Yarrowia lipolytica: one gene and its partner. The protein of the gene in region 1 purifies or fractionates together with the protein of each later gene. This does not show direct contact. Links are inferred from orthologs where the notes say so. Each region holds a gene or a part of one and is shown in the gene's direction. Other genes may lie near its edges.

The links.
Region 2: the proteins of YALI1_D34487g (region 1) and YALI1_F17988g purify together in Saccharomyces cerevisiae (affinity purification with western blotting; 3 studies listed by BioGRID). This does not show direct contact. The link is inferred for Yarrowia lipolytica from reciprocal best matches to the Saccharomyces cerevisiae genes TOP1 and NSR1.

Annotation. Positions count from the first base shown.
Region 1 is NC_090773.1:3,443,430-3,451,187, reverse strand, and holds YALI1_D34487g (uncharacterized protein), read left to right. Parts: upstream 1-2,509; coding exon 2,510-5,290; downstream 5,291-7,758. Other genes in the region: YALI1_D34508g (uncharacterized protein), read left to right, coding at 412-918; YALI1_D34446g (uncharacterized protein), read left to right, coding at 6,638-7,758.
Region 2 is NC_090775.1:1,795,388-1,801,936, forward strand, and holds YALI1_F17988g (uncharacterized protein), read left to right. Parts: upstream 1-3,431; coding exon 3,432-4,700; downstream 4,701-6,549. Other genes in the region: YALI1_F17953g (uncharacterized protein), read left to right, coding at 1-602; YALI1_F17962g (uncharacterized protein), read left to right, coding at 841-1,905. UniProt on the Saccharomyces cerevisiae protein: Involved in pre-rRNA processing. Specifically binds nuclear localization sequences. Candidate for a receptor at the nucleus that may be involved in both RNA and protein transport. Binds telomeric sequences of the type (TG[1-3])n in vitro.

The DNA of each region.
Region 1 (7,758 bases):
AACCGTCTAGATGGTCCAAAACTATTATCTCAAGTTCTGGACCGAAGAAATGGTGAAAAAGGTAGCAGTGACCCTTTCACATTGGACACTCTAAACTGACAATCTTTCACTACAGTACTTTTTTTGGAGTCGTTCTTTGTACTCGTTACTAAGCATGCATCTTGAATCGAAAACGTGCATGGTGATGCAGGATTGCCATGATGTGAGACTCCAATACGACCAAACAACTAAACAACACAACCACTAACATCGACCAGATAACAGCAAAGCAAGTCTTTCGAGCGACTGACAGATTAAGAGTGCCACAGACACTCGATACTTACCTCTGATCTTCTACTAACCTCTATCTGAGGTCACCACAACACCTACAATAGCCTGAAAGGACCCTAAGTCATAACATCATCTCTACACATGGTCCTAGTACCCCCACTCAATTTCGCCTTTGTGGCGGACGGAATATACCGGTCTGGTCATCCCCTGCCCATCAACTACCCGTTCCTCAACCAGCTGGATCTCAAATCGATCATCTACTTTGGCGACAGAGACATTGGCGACAACCAGGACTACATTGAGTGGGCCAAGAGCGAGGGAATCACACTCCACTACTTCCATGTGAACTCGGCCAAGGAGCCTTTTGTGGAAAACGACCCCGAGGCCATCAGACAGGCTCTTCAGATTCTGCTGGACAGACGCAACTTCCCCATTCTGGTGCACTCCAACAAGGGCAAGCACAGAATAGGCGTGCTGGTGGGCGTCATGCGAAAGATTCTGCAGGGCTGGTGTCTGGCGGGCATCTTTGACGAGTATTCAAGATTCGCGGCGGGCAAGGGAGACTTGGATGTCGAGTTTATCGAGACATTCGAGACGAAACTGCAGTTTGACTTGAATTATGCCCCAGAGTGGTTGGCTATACAATAACGGTAATACTGGCGAAAGGTCAGGAGTGGACAAAAGCTGGACCTGAATTGCGGAAAAGACTGACCGTAGGTAGGGTGGACAACAGCGTAGGTCGTTCTTCTCGAGAATGAGACAATGGAGCTACTAATGGTGGTGCAACAGCTGATTCAGGTCGTACTCGTAAGGGTGACTTGGTGAGGGTAACTTGCGAGGAAATACAAGAAGACGAGACAAGGCCAGGACTCGACGTCGACTTGATTGCGCTATCACTACTCTACCATACTTATAGCATCTGTAGCTTCAGTGATGAAAGAGTAAGTCAGCGGGTATCATTGGGCAATATCTGCTCAGGTGCTTTCAGGTCGCGGTTCGAGATCTCAAAGAAAATAACATCATATAATACTGAACCAAACATGATAGAAAAGTACATACTGTACTCGTAGACTACAAGTACTGCTTGTCGGTAAAGCGGTAGTGGTTGGGGGAGTGAGTAATCGTAGCTAGCTGTGTACTTTGACAGCTTGTTGATACATTCATGGTAAAGGAAACCCTCATCAACTGCAATCTCTGTCGTAATGAGACTATGATATCACCAAGGTGGTTCTTTACATTCTCTCGGTCATCCGCTGGAGGTTGTTTGAGATTAGTTAGAGCTGGTTCACATTAGGTGGACATTGAACAGTGCTTTCCTTAATACAAGTAGACGCTCACAATGGATAAAGAGGACTCTGTCTTTGACAACCAACAACCATCATTCCACTGTGCCATCGGCTTGATGTCGAAATGTCACCGAATCCAAGTCTGAATGAGGACAAAATTTGTTAGTTTTTTACTTGACACATTACTTAGGACATTGCTACAGGACCAATAATGGGCCCCCATTTGCAACCACAGATAACACATCCTGGCACTGGTGTATGACGGGAAGACTATACACCACACCACACCAATATGCACTGTGGCTACACTTTGTTGAGCGCATATCGAAAATATGGACGTGGATAACAGGACTGAAAATCTCTCATGTGGCGGGATTTTGATGCGGAAAAAACATAGCCACGTGTAAAAACAAGAATTACAATGATGCAGACACCCCAAAGTCGAATATATTCAACCAATCACTCTCCACAAGCATTTTGCTATGTCTCCCTCCACTGCTGGAAACCTTATTTGAACATAGTCAAAATCGAGTACGTGGCACAACCATAACGTACAGGCGACTGTTTTGAGGGGTAAAACGCAACCGAGGAGGTGGCACACATCCCAGAATGCGTATGGATATGGGAGATGGAAAATAGATTGTTCTGACTAATCAACCAAAGACAGCTTACATAATACTTCTGCTGTGGTGAAACGGCGGCAACGGGAATCTTCCCTTCACAACATCACTCCTCCCAGGCAGGGCTATTGTCGTGTTGGGCATTTAGCTACAGTAATGCCAAAAAAGTTTGAAGTCATGCAGTGACAGAACAACTGAAGAATGTTCGCAATGAGATGATGAGAAGGGCTGGGAACGATTTCAATTGATTGATGGGGACAATGGTAGGTTTGTTTGCTCCTAATCTATGTCTAATCACGTGATCTGGTCTTATCTGATGAAACAACACAATATATGCCATGCACTGGCAATGTCTATCTGTCAGGCTTCCAGACTTGCGTTGTAAAAGTTACTCTTACTTGCTGTGAGCTGACGGTGTCGGATGAGAAAATACACAGCGGTGTAGACAAAATTTTACCGGGGAAAACAAAAAATGGCAAATGCTCCGTTTCTTGTGATTTCCAGCCTCTCGCTAAACCCATTCTGGACACTGGGGAAGCACTAAGAACAGCTTCCGACAGTGTATCATGCTACACTAGCAGCCCAACTTTAAAAGCTGGCGGTATAGAGAGGTCCGATACATTGCAGTGCGCGTCGCGAAACTTTTGCTTCTCTCTTTTCTCTTTTTTTTTTTCTTCCTCTCTCAGCTTCAGACGGCCGCGAAACGCAGAAATCAACGTGTTTTTGATCAGACGGGTCCCGATTCTTTGTCCGCTTCGCCCTCTGATTCGATCTGTCAATCGACCTATTAATCGATTTGTTCACCGACCTGTTTCACGACTACTCACAACCATGCCTGCCAGGATCATCACTTCGGATGACGAGGACGACCTCATGCCTCCCTCTCGACCCTCCACTGTCAAGCGAGTGAAGGACGAAGACGACGACGACGCGCCTGTAGTGAAGAAGGTCAAGAAGGAGTCCTCTACTCCTAAGGCTTCTCCTAAGGTGAAGAAGGCTACCACCACCACTAAGGTTAAAAAAGAGAGCACAACCAATGCCAAAAAGGCCCCTGTCAAGAAGACCACCACAACTACCATCAAGAAGGACCCTGTGAAACAGCAAACGGTCAAGAAAACCACCATCAAGAAGGAGACGGTCGGAGCCGACGGCAAGATCAAGAAGGAGGAGACCGAAGAGGCCGAAGATGTGTACAAATGGTGGGAGAATGACAACCAGGACGATTCCATCAAGTGGGAGACTCTAGAGCACAAGGGAGTCATGTTTCCTCCTGAATACGAACCATTGCCCAAAAATGTGCTCATGAAGTACGACGGAACTCCTGTGGTGCTCCCCCATGCTGCTGAGGAGGTTGCAGGCTTCTTTGGAGCCATGCTGGAAACCGACCACGCCAAGAACCCGACTTTCCAGAAGAACTTCTTCAACGACTTCAAGGCGGTTCTCAAGGAGAGCGGGGGCGCTAAGGACAAGGATGGTAACAATGTGCAAATCAAAGCCTTTTCCAAGTGCGACTTTTCCGACATGTACGCTCACTTTGAAAAGATGCGGGAGGAGAAGAAAGCCATGAGCGCCGCGGAGAAGAAGGCAATCAAGGCCGAGCGAGACAAGATCGAGGAGCCCTTCAAAGTGTGTCTGCTCAACGGCCGAAAGGAACAGGTTGGCAACTTCCGAATCGAGCCTCCGGGTCTATTCCGTGGCCGAGGAGCCCACCCCAAGACTGGTAAGCTCAAGCGTCGAGTCATGCCCGAGCAAATCACCATCAACATTGGCAAGGGCGTTCCTGTGCCCGAGCCTCCTGCTGGACACAAGTGGGGGGAGGTGCGACACGACAATTCGGTTGCATGGCTTGCCATGTGGCACGAGAACATCAACAACTCCATCAAGTATGTCTTGTTTGCTGCAAATTCGTCTCTCAAGGGAATGTCCGACTACAAGAAGTTTGAGAAAGCCCGAGAGCTCAAGAAACACGTCGCTACCATCCGAAAGGACTACGAGAAGGAGCTCAAATCAGAGGCCATGTTTGAACGTCAGAGAGCCACAGCCATGTACCTGATTGATGTGTTGGCTCTGCGAGCTGGAGGAGAGAAGGGAGACGATGAGGCCGACACTGTGGGTTGTTGTTCTCTTCGATACGAACACATTACTCTCTCTCCGCCAAACATCGTGGAGTTTGATTTCCTCGGTAAGGACTCCATTCGGTACCACCAGGAGGTCGAAGTGTCTCCTCAAGTGTTCAAGAACCTGCGCATCTTCAAGAAGGCCCCCAAGAAGGTTGGAGATGATATCTTTGACCGTCTGGACCCTTCTGTGCTTAATAAGCATCTGCAGAACTACATGCCTGGTCTCACCGCCAAGGTTTTCCGAACCTACAACGCTTCCAAGACCATGGATGACCAGCTGGCTCTCATTCCCAACGAGGGAACTGTCGCTGAGAAGCTCGTCAAGTTCAATGCTGCCAACCGAGCCGTTGCCATTCTGTGTAACCATCAAAAGACCGTGTCCAAGACGCACGGCGAGTCGGTTGGCAAGATTGAAGACCGAATCAACGAGGTGGTGTGGCAAAAGTGGCGTCACAAGCGAATGTTGCTAGATCTCGAACCAAAGCTGCTCAAGAAGGAGCCCAAGCTGTTTGAGGATCTCGACGAGCTGTCCAAGGAGGAGAAGACTGCTTGTGCCAATCGACTTCTTGAGAAGGACTCGGAGCGATGGACAAAGAAGTTTGAGCGGGACAACGAGAAGCTGGTGGCCGAGAAACAAAAGCCCAAGCCCAAGTCCGAGCTCAACGCCAAGCTCAAGGACCTCGCCGACACTAACAAGCAGTATCTCAAGGAGATCAAATCCAACAAGGTCGAGGGTAAGGGAACTGTGGAGAAGCTACGTGCCCAGGTAGAGAAGCTGGAGACCCGGGTAACCACGATGCGAATGCAGCTCAAGGACAAGGAAGACAACTCGTCTGTGGCGCTGGGCACCTCGAAAATGAACTATATTGATCCTAGATTGACAGTCAAGTTCAGCAAAAAGTACGACGTGCCCATTGAGAAGCTCTTCACCAAGACCCTACGGGACAAGTTCCAGTGGGCCATTCAGAGTGCGGACGAGGACTGGGAGTTCTAGCTGTATGTATGTTATAGATAAGTTATTGTAGATTACGAAAGAACGGGAATAACCTACCGTAGATGGGGAACGGACAACAAGTCCCGGTACAGTACAGTACTCGTACCGGTACAAGGATGTCGTACGATTGATTCAATGGGAAATAATGCAGCAGCGACCGGAGCAAATTGGCGTAATGGAGACGATTGGCCGTAGGTGAGGCATAAACAAGAACCACCATCTGGCTGTATATTGAGTATAAAGGTAATATTCGATTGAATTTTGCCCTCCTCAGTCCTGTCATTCACACGATGTTATCTGATGGAGGTCTTACGGTTCACACCCACAGTACCAGTCATGACCCAGAGTTGTATCTATATATGTATCTCTATCGGTGTCTCAGGTTCCATCCCTGGTCACCAAAAGTCATTACTTCCACTCAAGATCTTACCAAAAAGTCAGAATGCGCCATTGATGAGCAACTTTTGAGTCGCGAGAACCAAAAAAAAAAATAAGCTACAAAACAAGGTGTATACATACATGTAGATGGCGCAGTACACTTGAGACAATGCACGAGGAGGTTATATACGGCACAACTTCGGTACATTCGGTACGATACGAGTATGTACTTGTACTACAAGTGAGTAGTAGACTTCTTTGGGTCGATGTTTTCAAGATTTCGGACGGTGAATTTTGTCTGGTGACAGGTTGATGACACACAAGTGTCCTCCAATCACCAATCATCCCTGGTGTGTGTATCAACTGCATTGGCACCATGTCCATCAGCCAGGGACTTGCAAGTAGGACATTGTCATGTGGATTGATGCTTTGAATCACATCTTAGTTTGATTAGTATTTGAAAAAAAATTGCGAGGATCACTGAAGCCAGTGTGTACGTACCGGGATTGGTATAGTAGTGTGTACGGAGGATGCGGTCAGCTTCACCACGGTGCCAACTGGAGTATATTATTGACCATTGTGCGCTGTTGCTGCTTCGACCACCAAGGTCAACCCGGAACAGATATTGCAGAACCCCCCAATTGTATACTCTTACATAACTCGCTAAAAATGTTCATTTTCAGTTCCGTGGTTCCGATGTTGCATCCGATACACAAGGTTGAGATGACGATCTAATCCTATTGATGGAAAAGATTGATTTATCTGATTAGCTGAAAAACCCAAAAGAATCTCTGGAGAAGGATAAAATCAGGGGACAGGCACGGTGCCTTGTCTTGGCATGCGCCTAGCCTCGGAGGCCCTGCCAAGACGGGAATGGGTGACGCCCAGAGCTTGGATACTTGTGTCAGTTTATAAAGTCGTACAGGGGCCGACGGAAGGGCAGATCGATTACTGAGCGTCAAAACCAACATGAAGTTCACCCTTCTTCTCGCCGTTGCTTTTCTGGTCACCCTGGTAACTGCTTACAGAGATCATCCTGGTGATCATGTCCTTCTCGTCACCAGTACTGTTCAGGGAGCTACTGGCAAGTTCAATTTTGATTTCAAGCCTGTTAAAGGCTTTGGAGCAGCTTACTACCAATCGAGATGGGATAACAAGCCGTTCATTCAGACTCGAGCCATCTGGTACCGTGCCGTTCTTCCCGATGATGAGCAATGGAAGCGGGCTTTGGACAAGGACATTATCCAGATCTACAACAAGCGGGGAATGCTCAACCTCACCATGGATGACATGATGGAGGTCTACGAGAACGGAACCAAGTATGCCGTATCCAACCAGAACACCTCTGCAGTTCTTCATGCTCCTGTCGCTTTCAATCAGACTGCTTATGATGAATACTTTCCTACTGTGCATGAATTCCTGAAACAACTGGATCTGGGAACCTACTACGGAGCTGGTCTTCTTTCATGGTGGATGTTAATCTTTCTGGTTGGAATGGCCTCTAATCTCGGAAAACATGCCTTTTTCGGACTCTACCAGAAAATCAAGGGTCACAGGTTCAGAAAACATGTCTCTATGCCTGCTCTGTGGGGATACAAACACTGCCAGCCTGCAGGAGGATATCTGGGAGGCTTCATCAGTATGTGTACTCCTACCCGAATGCAGGCTCTCGTGGTCCTTGGATACCTGATTATGGCCTTCATCTTCTTGTTCACTCAGTACAATCTGTTCACACCCAACTTTTACTGGAAAGCCCATGGAGACCAGCTGGCACGATACATTGCCGACCGAACTGGAATCATGTCTTTCACCCAGGTACCCATTGTGTTTTTGTTTGGAGGAAGAAACAACTTCTTCATGTGGCTTACAGGCTGGTCTTTCGATACCTTCAACATCTACCACCGGTGGACCTCTCGAGTCATGATTTTGTATGCCGTCATCCACTCCATTTGTTACTCGTATCTCCAACGAGATTTCTTCAGCGTGGCAGCTTCACAGTTCTATTGGATCATGGGAACAGTAGCTACCATCTGTGGCTCTTTGATTCTGTTCCAAGGTTTGCATTTCTTCCGGTCTAGGTGGTACGAGAC
Region 2 (6,549 bases), on another chromosome or scaffold:
TGTCGTTATTGTCCCACTTTTCTAAAAAATCGCAGTTTCTCTTATCGTACCAATTTAGCCCTCCATCACTGGTGTACGAATATTACAGCTACAGTATCGTATTACTTGACTACGATAGCTGCTGCCGCCATGTCAACATCTTACCCACACAACAATGTCAGATATACGTCTCTACGCTCCATGGACACAAACGGACATTGTGTATATATATATATACATGTCGAGTCTTGCACTTGTCCATATACTCTGCACCATCTGTCCTTCTCAACCGCAATTATGTCACATCACCAATAAGAGAGCGAAAAACCGGTGCTTCTCGATACATCGGCTATGGGCGCCATTGCGAGGGGAGACCAGACATGGTGGAAGCACATGAGGGCGGGGGGCCGATGCCGGTGCTGGAAAGTCGAGGTTTGCAAGCTGCATTTCGACAAACTTGCGGTTCAGTCACACTCCAACAACCTGGTAACTCCACACAAGCCACAAATCCGTTGTACCGTTTCAGCTACACCGCCACAAGTTTTTTTCATTTTGAGCCACAACCTGGATTTCACATCAGACATGAACTGATTAGGCTCTGTGGGGGGGGATGGCACAGATAAGCAGTTGATGTAGCAGAAGAGAGGGGTTGGGGCGGATTCTCGAGACTCCATCCTGTTGTTTTATCACGTGACTTGTGTACTTGTGTGCTTGTGGCTCTTTCACTGCTTCCGTTGCATTTGAGCCCCTCCAGTTGACCCAGACCCTCCATGGAACACGTCTCTAAACAAGGTTTAGTTTTTCCAAATGACTGAATACTCCGAAATCAGTCGCAGAGAGACTTAACACACTCCACCACAAATGTCTCGAAAGTTTGAAATTTCTGTGCCCGCGTCCTCGGCCAACATTGGTCCCGGTTTCGACGTGCTCGGCCTCGCTCTGGCCAAGTTCCTCGTGATCAACGTCGAAATCGACTCGTCCAAAACCTCGGACCGAAAGGACCCCAACAACTGCATTATCACCTACGAGGGCGAGGGAGCTGACGGCGTTCCTCTCGACAGTGACCACAACCTTGTCACCCGAGTGGCTCTCTACGTTCTGCGATGCAACGGCATTAGATCTTTCCCCTCGGGCACCTTTGTGCACGTCAACAACCCCATTCCTCTGGGTCGAGGTCTGGGCTCGTCTGGAGCGGCTGTGGTGGCTGGTGTCATGCTCGGAAACGAGGTCGGAAAGCTGGGCTTCTCCAAGCAGCGAATGCTCGACTATTGTCTCATGATCGAGCGACATCCCGACAACATCACCGCAGCCATGATGGGCGGCTTTGTGGGTTCTTACCTGCGGGAGCTGTCTGCTGCTGATCTCGAGCGAGTGGAGATCCCCCTTGCTGAGGTTCTCCCCGAGCCTGCCGGAGGCCGAGATACCGGCCTTGTACCCCCCGAGCCTCCTCTCAACATCGGACACCACATCAAGTACGACTGGTGCCGAGAAATCAAGGCCATTGTGGTGATTCCCAACTTTGAGGTCTCCACCGCCTCGGCCCGAGGAGTGCTCCCCACTGCCTACACTGCTTCAGATATGATCTTCAACCTGCAGCGACTGGCCGTTCTCACCACCGCCCTCACCCGATCGCCTCCCCAGGCCGACCTCATCTATCAGGCCATGCAGGACAAGGTCCACCAGCCCTACCGAAAGACCCTGATCCCCGGTCTGCCTGAGATTCTGGCCTCCGTTACCCCCAAGACTCACGAGGGTCTGCTGGGCATCTGTCTGTCTGGCGCTGGGCCCACCATTCTGGCTCTGGCCACCGACAACTTCGAGACAATCGCCAAGGAGATTGTGTCGCGATTCAACAAGGAGGGCATCGACTGCCGATGGGAGGTCCAGGAGTTGGCCTACGACGGTTCCAACGTGAAGCAGCTCTAAGGTACGATGGCGTTGACACTCTGTTAGGGACACTCATGGAGGAAATGAGACCTTTGGAAAGGAACATGTGTAGATAGGATAAAATACTTCTTCTTGGTAGTGAGTGGCCAAAGGTCACGAGCGAACAGGTAATGTAGATGAAGAGGACCTCCAATCTGGGGATGGTTCATGTTCGATGGTAAGGAGCATGTTCGATGGTCAGGAGCATGTTCGATGGTCAGGAGCATGTTCGATGGTAAGGAGCATGTTCGATGGTAAGGAGCACGTTCACTGATGTCCTTTCAGTGTGTTTGCCTTAACCTTCAAGAGACTCGATGCTTTAGCTAAGGGCTGGCATTACAGTGCAAGCATCAGAAGCAGTACAATACCTGTAATGATGAGGGTCTCGATCAGCATCAATGTTCTCTGAAAGTGTCCATGTAACATGTTCCATCCTGAAGACTCGCAGCCACCAGAGTCTTTCCACGGCACACGCTCCTACCTCCATCTCATCACTGTTCCAGCTTACCTAAGCCATCTTGTCTTGGGCCAAGCTAAAAAAGAATAGACCGTCACACGACTATTCGCCGCAGTAGCTCAGCATCCACCCTCCATTGAAACCTAACTGAAAGCTAGTGTAGCAATGTTGCGTCGATCCAATTGAGTGGTAAGAAGTTGACAGCACTTGTGGCCAGCCAGGGGAGACCATGAGCTTCTAGCATAAGTCGGAGACACGGTTGCCATCATGTCTCTTTTTGTCTGTAATGTACCACAGTTGCAGACACCTCTTGTGTTTGGAGAGCCGCCGCGGCAAATTTCTTACTTTGTTACTCCGTCCCTCTCGCCGTTGGACATGCACCATTATCGTCAGCGTACATGACGGTGGTTAGGCCGGGTCATCTCTAACCGGAGACGACCTATACGGTACATGCAGACGCTGTGCGATTAGCTACCATGCGAGAGAAGGATGTAAAGTGGCTCTACAGCGACACAGAGGCGGGGGAAATTGTTCGAATTCCGTGTGGAGTCGATTTAGCGAGTCCCGGCGTTTCGCCTGTTTGTCTCACGTGCCCCGTACCTCTTTTCGTTTCGTTTGGGCGCCCCCAAACGGATTGATCCACAAGCTTCTTTCCGCCTCAAGTTTTTAAGGTGGAAATTTTCTTCATCGATAAAAAAAAAACACAAAAGAATACAGAGCCTCACAGCATCAAAGAGAGATGCGATAAAAGATGAATTGGCGCCGAGCAGGCAGCTGGGAAGCCTGGAACGAGATTTGAACGACATAGAACTCCCCGTGGGTCCCTACTGGAGCTGTTTCCGCACCCATAGACGCCCATCCACCTCCCATTCGTGGCTGGCCAAGTCACATGACCTATCCAATTAGGCTCCAGGGAGGTGCATATAGTGCATGAGATTTCTTTGTCCGATTGAAAAAATTTAGGAAAGTTTGTCTAGAAATTTTGCAGGGCGAAAAATCTAATAAGAAGGGCAGTAAGGGCACTTTCTCCTCCTCATCACACTACTCCATTACACAAAAAATTTCTATAATGGGTTCTAAATCTGCTTCCAAGGGCGTTTCCAAGCCCTCCAAGACTGACAAGAAGTCCAAGGTTTCTTCCAAGAAGGCCGAGGCCATCGAGAAGTCCATTGCTGAGCTTTCCAAGAAGAAGAAGGACGAGTCCTCTTCCGAGTCCTCCGACTCCTCCGACGACGAGGATGAGGAGATGAGCGATGCCTCTTCCTCTTCCGACTCTGACTCTGACTCTTCTTCCGACTCTGACTCTGACTCTGACTCCGACTCTGACTCTTCCGACGACGAGAAGAAGGAGGACAAGAAGGTCGAGGAGAAGGTTGTCAAGAAGGCCAAGAAGGAGGATTCTTCCGACTCTTCTGACTCCGACTCCGATTCTTCTGACTCTGACTCCGACTCTGGTTCTGACTCCGACTCTGACTCTGACGACGAGAAGACCGAGGAGAAGACTGAGGTCAAGGCCGAGACCAAGGCCGAGCCTGCCGCTGAGCCCGAGGCTGCCGCTGAGCCCGAGTTCAAGACCGTCTTCGTTGGCGGTCTGTCTTGGAACGTTGACGACGACTGGCTCACCAAGGAGTTTGCTGATGCTGGCGCCGTTTCCGCTCGAGTCATCACCGAGAAGGCCACTGGTCGATCCAAGGGTTTCGGATACGTCGACTTTGCCTCTGGTGCTGACGCCCAGAAGTGTGTCGAGGAGTTCCAGGACAAGGAGATTGACGGCCGAACCGTTCGACTCGATATCTCTACCAACGTTCGACAGACCCCCGAGCAGAAGCAGCGAGACCGATCTTCTCAGTACGGCGACCAGCTCTCCGAGCCCGCTGACACTCTGTTCGTCGGCAACCTGTCCTTCGACACTAACCGAGACGATCTCTTTGGCATCTTTGGCGAGTACGGATCTGTTGTTTCCATCCGACTCCCCACCCACCCTGAGACCGAGCAGCCCAAGGGTTTCGGCTACGTCCAGTTTGGCTCCGTTGACGAGGCCAAGGCAGCCCTTGAGGGTCTGTCCGGCTACGAGTACCTCGGACGATCTTTCCGACTCGACTACACCTCTCCCAAGCCCGCTGGTGGCTTCAACGGCGGAGGACGAGGCGGACGAGGTGGCTTCGGCGGTAACCGAGGTGGCCGAGGTGGCTTCGGTGGTGACCGAGGTGGACGAGGCGGATTCGGCGGTCGAGGCGGTCGAGGAGGCTTTGGCGGCCGAGGTGGCCGAGGCGGCTTCAACACCGGCGCTAACACCGCTCCCCTTGGCGAGTTCAAGGGTAAGAAGACTACTTTCTAAGCATCTCCCACTTACACACCCCCCCCAAAAAACAGGACTTAACATATAGAGCATTGTATTATTCTTAACGATATGACAAAGAAACGATAACGTAGTTCATGTGAGATAACATGTAGGCCATGTGAGATAACCCTCTGTCTGCACGGTTACTGGTGATCACTGGACAAAGACTGTTGTTGCGTGCTAATAACCATATCGTTCATAGACAGGCCGGAGTACTCAGTGGCATATGCTTGTACTTGTATCTATGAGTACGTACATACTGTACTGCTGTACTTACCTAGCGGATCTACACGCTCGTACATTAGTAAGTGAAGAGCTGACGTTGATCTAATGGCCTTCATTGCTGTGAATCTACGGTTGGAGGAAAGGTCGTGCGAGAACAGTACATACTGTACTTGTAAAAACGTTCCTGGACTGACGTTTTGCAGAAGGCGTGTACGTACAATCACTACCATACACCGTACATCATACTGCCATACTGCTGAGGGTGCTAGAAGGGTAAAAGTGGTAGAGCTGAATAGCTGAGCTCGTTAATATAACCCATTGTTTTTTCTTTTATCAACTGAGCGTGTAACCCCGATAAATCAACCCAGCCACTATTCACACTAACGCCGGATGTCACGCTGAATGGTAGCCAAACCGGGGCGTCAAGTGGACTACTGTAGCACAAAGCAATCTAACAAATCAAACCCGACTGGTTGCAATGTGACATGTCTCGGAACCCCGATAGGTCACATGCATGCTTATCGCATCTTATCGCATCTTATCGCATCTTATCGCATCCTTCATCGTCGCCGCCTGACAACGTGAATAGGTAGTTGTTTCTGCATATTTGGGGGATTCTGTTGCAGGCAGCCCAAGTCGCAAAGATGCATATAATCATGGTATCTATAGTACAGTAATAGTATGCAGGCATTTCTGTACATGTTCCCATGCCATGCTTGTACTGAATTACTAAAAGATCATGTCACAGGGTCCTAATTACTGTGTGAGACTGTCCAAGCTAATTCTGCAGTGCGAGTATGAGTACATACTTGTACGTGATGTACTGTACGAGTGGTGGTACGAGAATTACTGTACGGGATGTACTATACGAGTACTTGTCGTGAATTACTGTGTCAGTACTTGTTAGGTGGCACGCTCTCAAGACTTCATGGATCAGTACATACTCGGCCCAGCCTTTTACGATTATCAAGTGAAATATGCGATGAGCGTTTAAAAAAAGAACCATAAGGTGATCTGGAGGTCCATAATGAGGTGTATCACGCAACTGCGAGTATCGTGCTCTTCAACTGGTCAAACACACACAATATGACACTACATTGCTTTACTTGTGTCCTTTTACCCCTACACCTCCTCACCTCCTCACCTTGTCAAACACGGGAGCTGTCTCCATCACATGACTTGTACCCCCGCAGAACTGTCTTTGGTCAGCCACTCATCTCGGGTGAAACATGATAACAAGTTTTTTAACTAGTTTTTTTTACGTGTACAGCCGTTTGCAGCCGCCCGATTGTTCTTGTTTTTTCCAACGGCTGCGGGGGCGCCGGGCAGCTCTTGTCCAAGGGCGACTCGGATCCGCCCACAATGCGACGTGCTCAGCAGCGTGAACCTCGCATGGCAAATGTAACAAAAGGTCGTGGGCTCTTCTGGAGGGCCGTTAAGTAGCCAATCGGATTGGGTTAGCTGGAATGACGTGTCGCAGACGCTTGTCCCAAAGCTAAAATACCTTGGGCAAAGAGGTGTGAGCACTACAAAGGACGGGCGATGACGGGTAGAATAGAACGTCAGTAGAGGCGAAAAAGGGGTCGCAAGAGACGGGGTCTCCGGCGGCAAGACAGAGTTG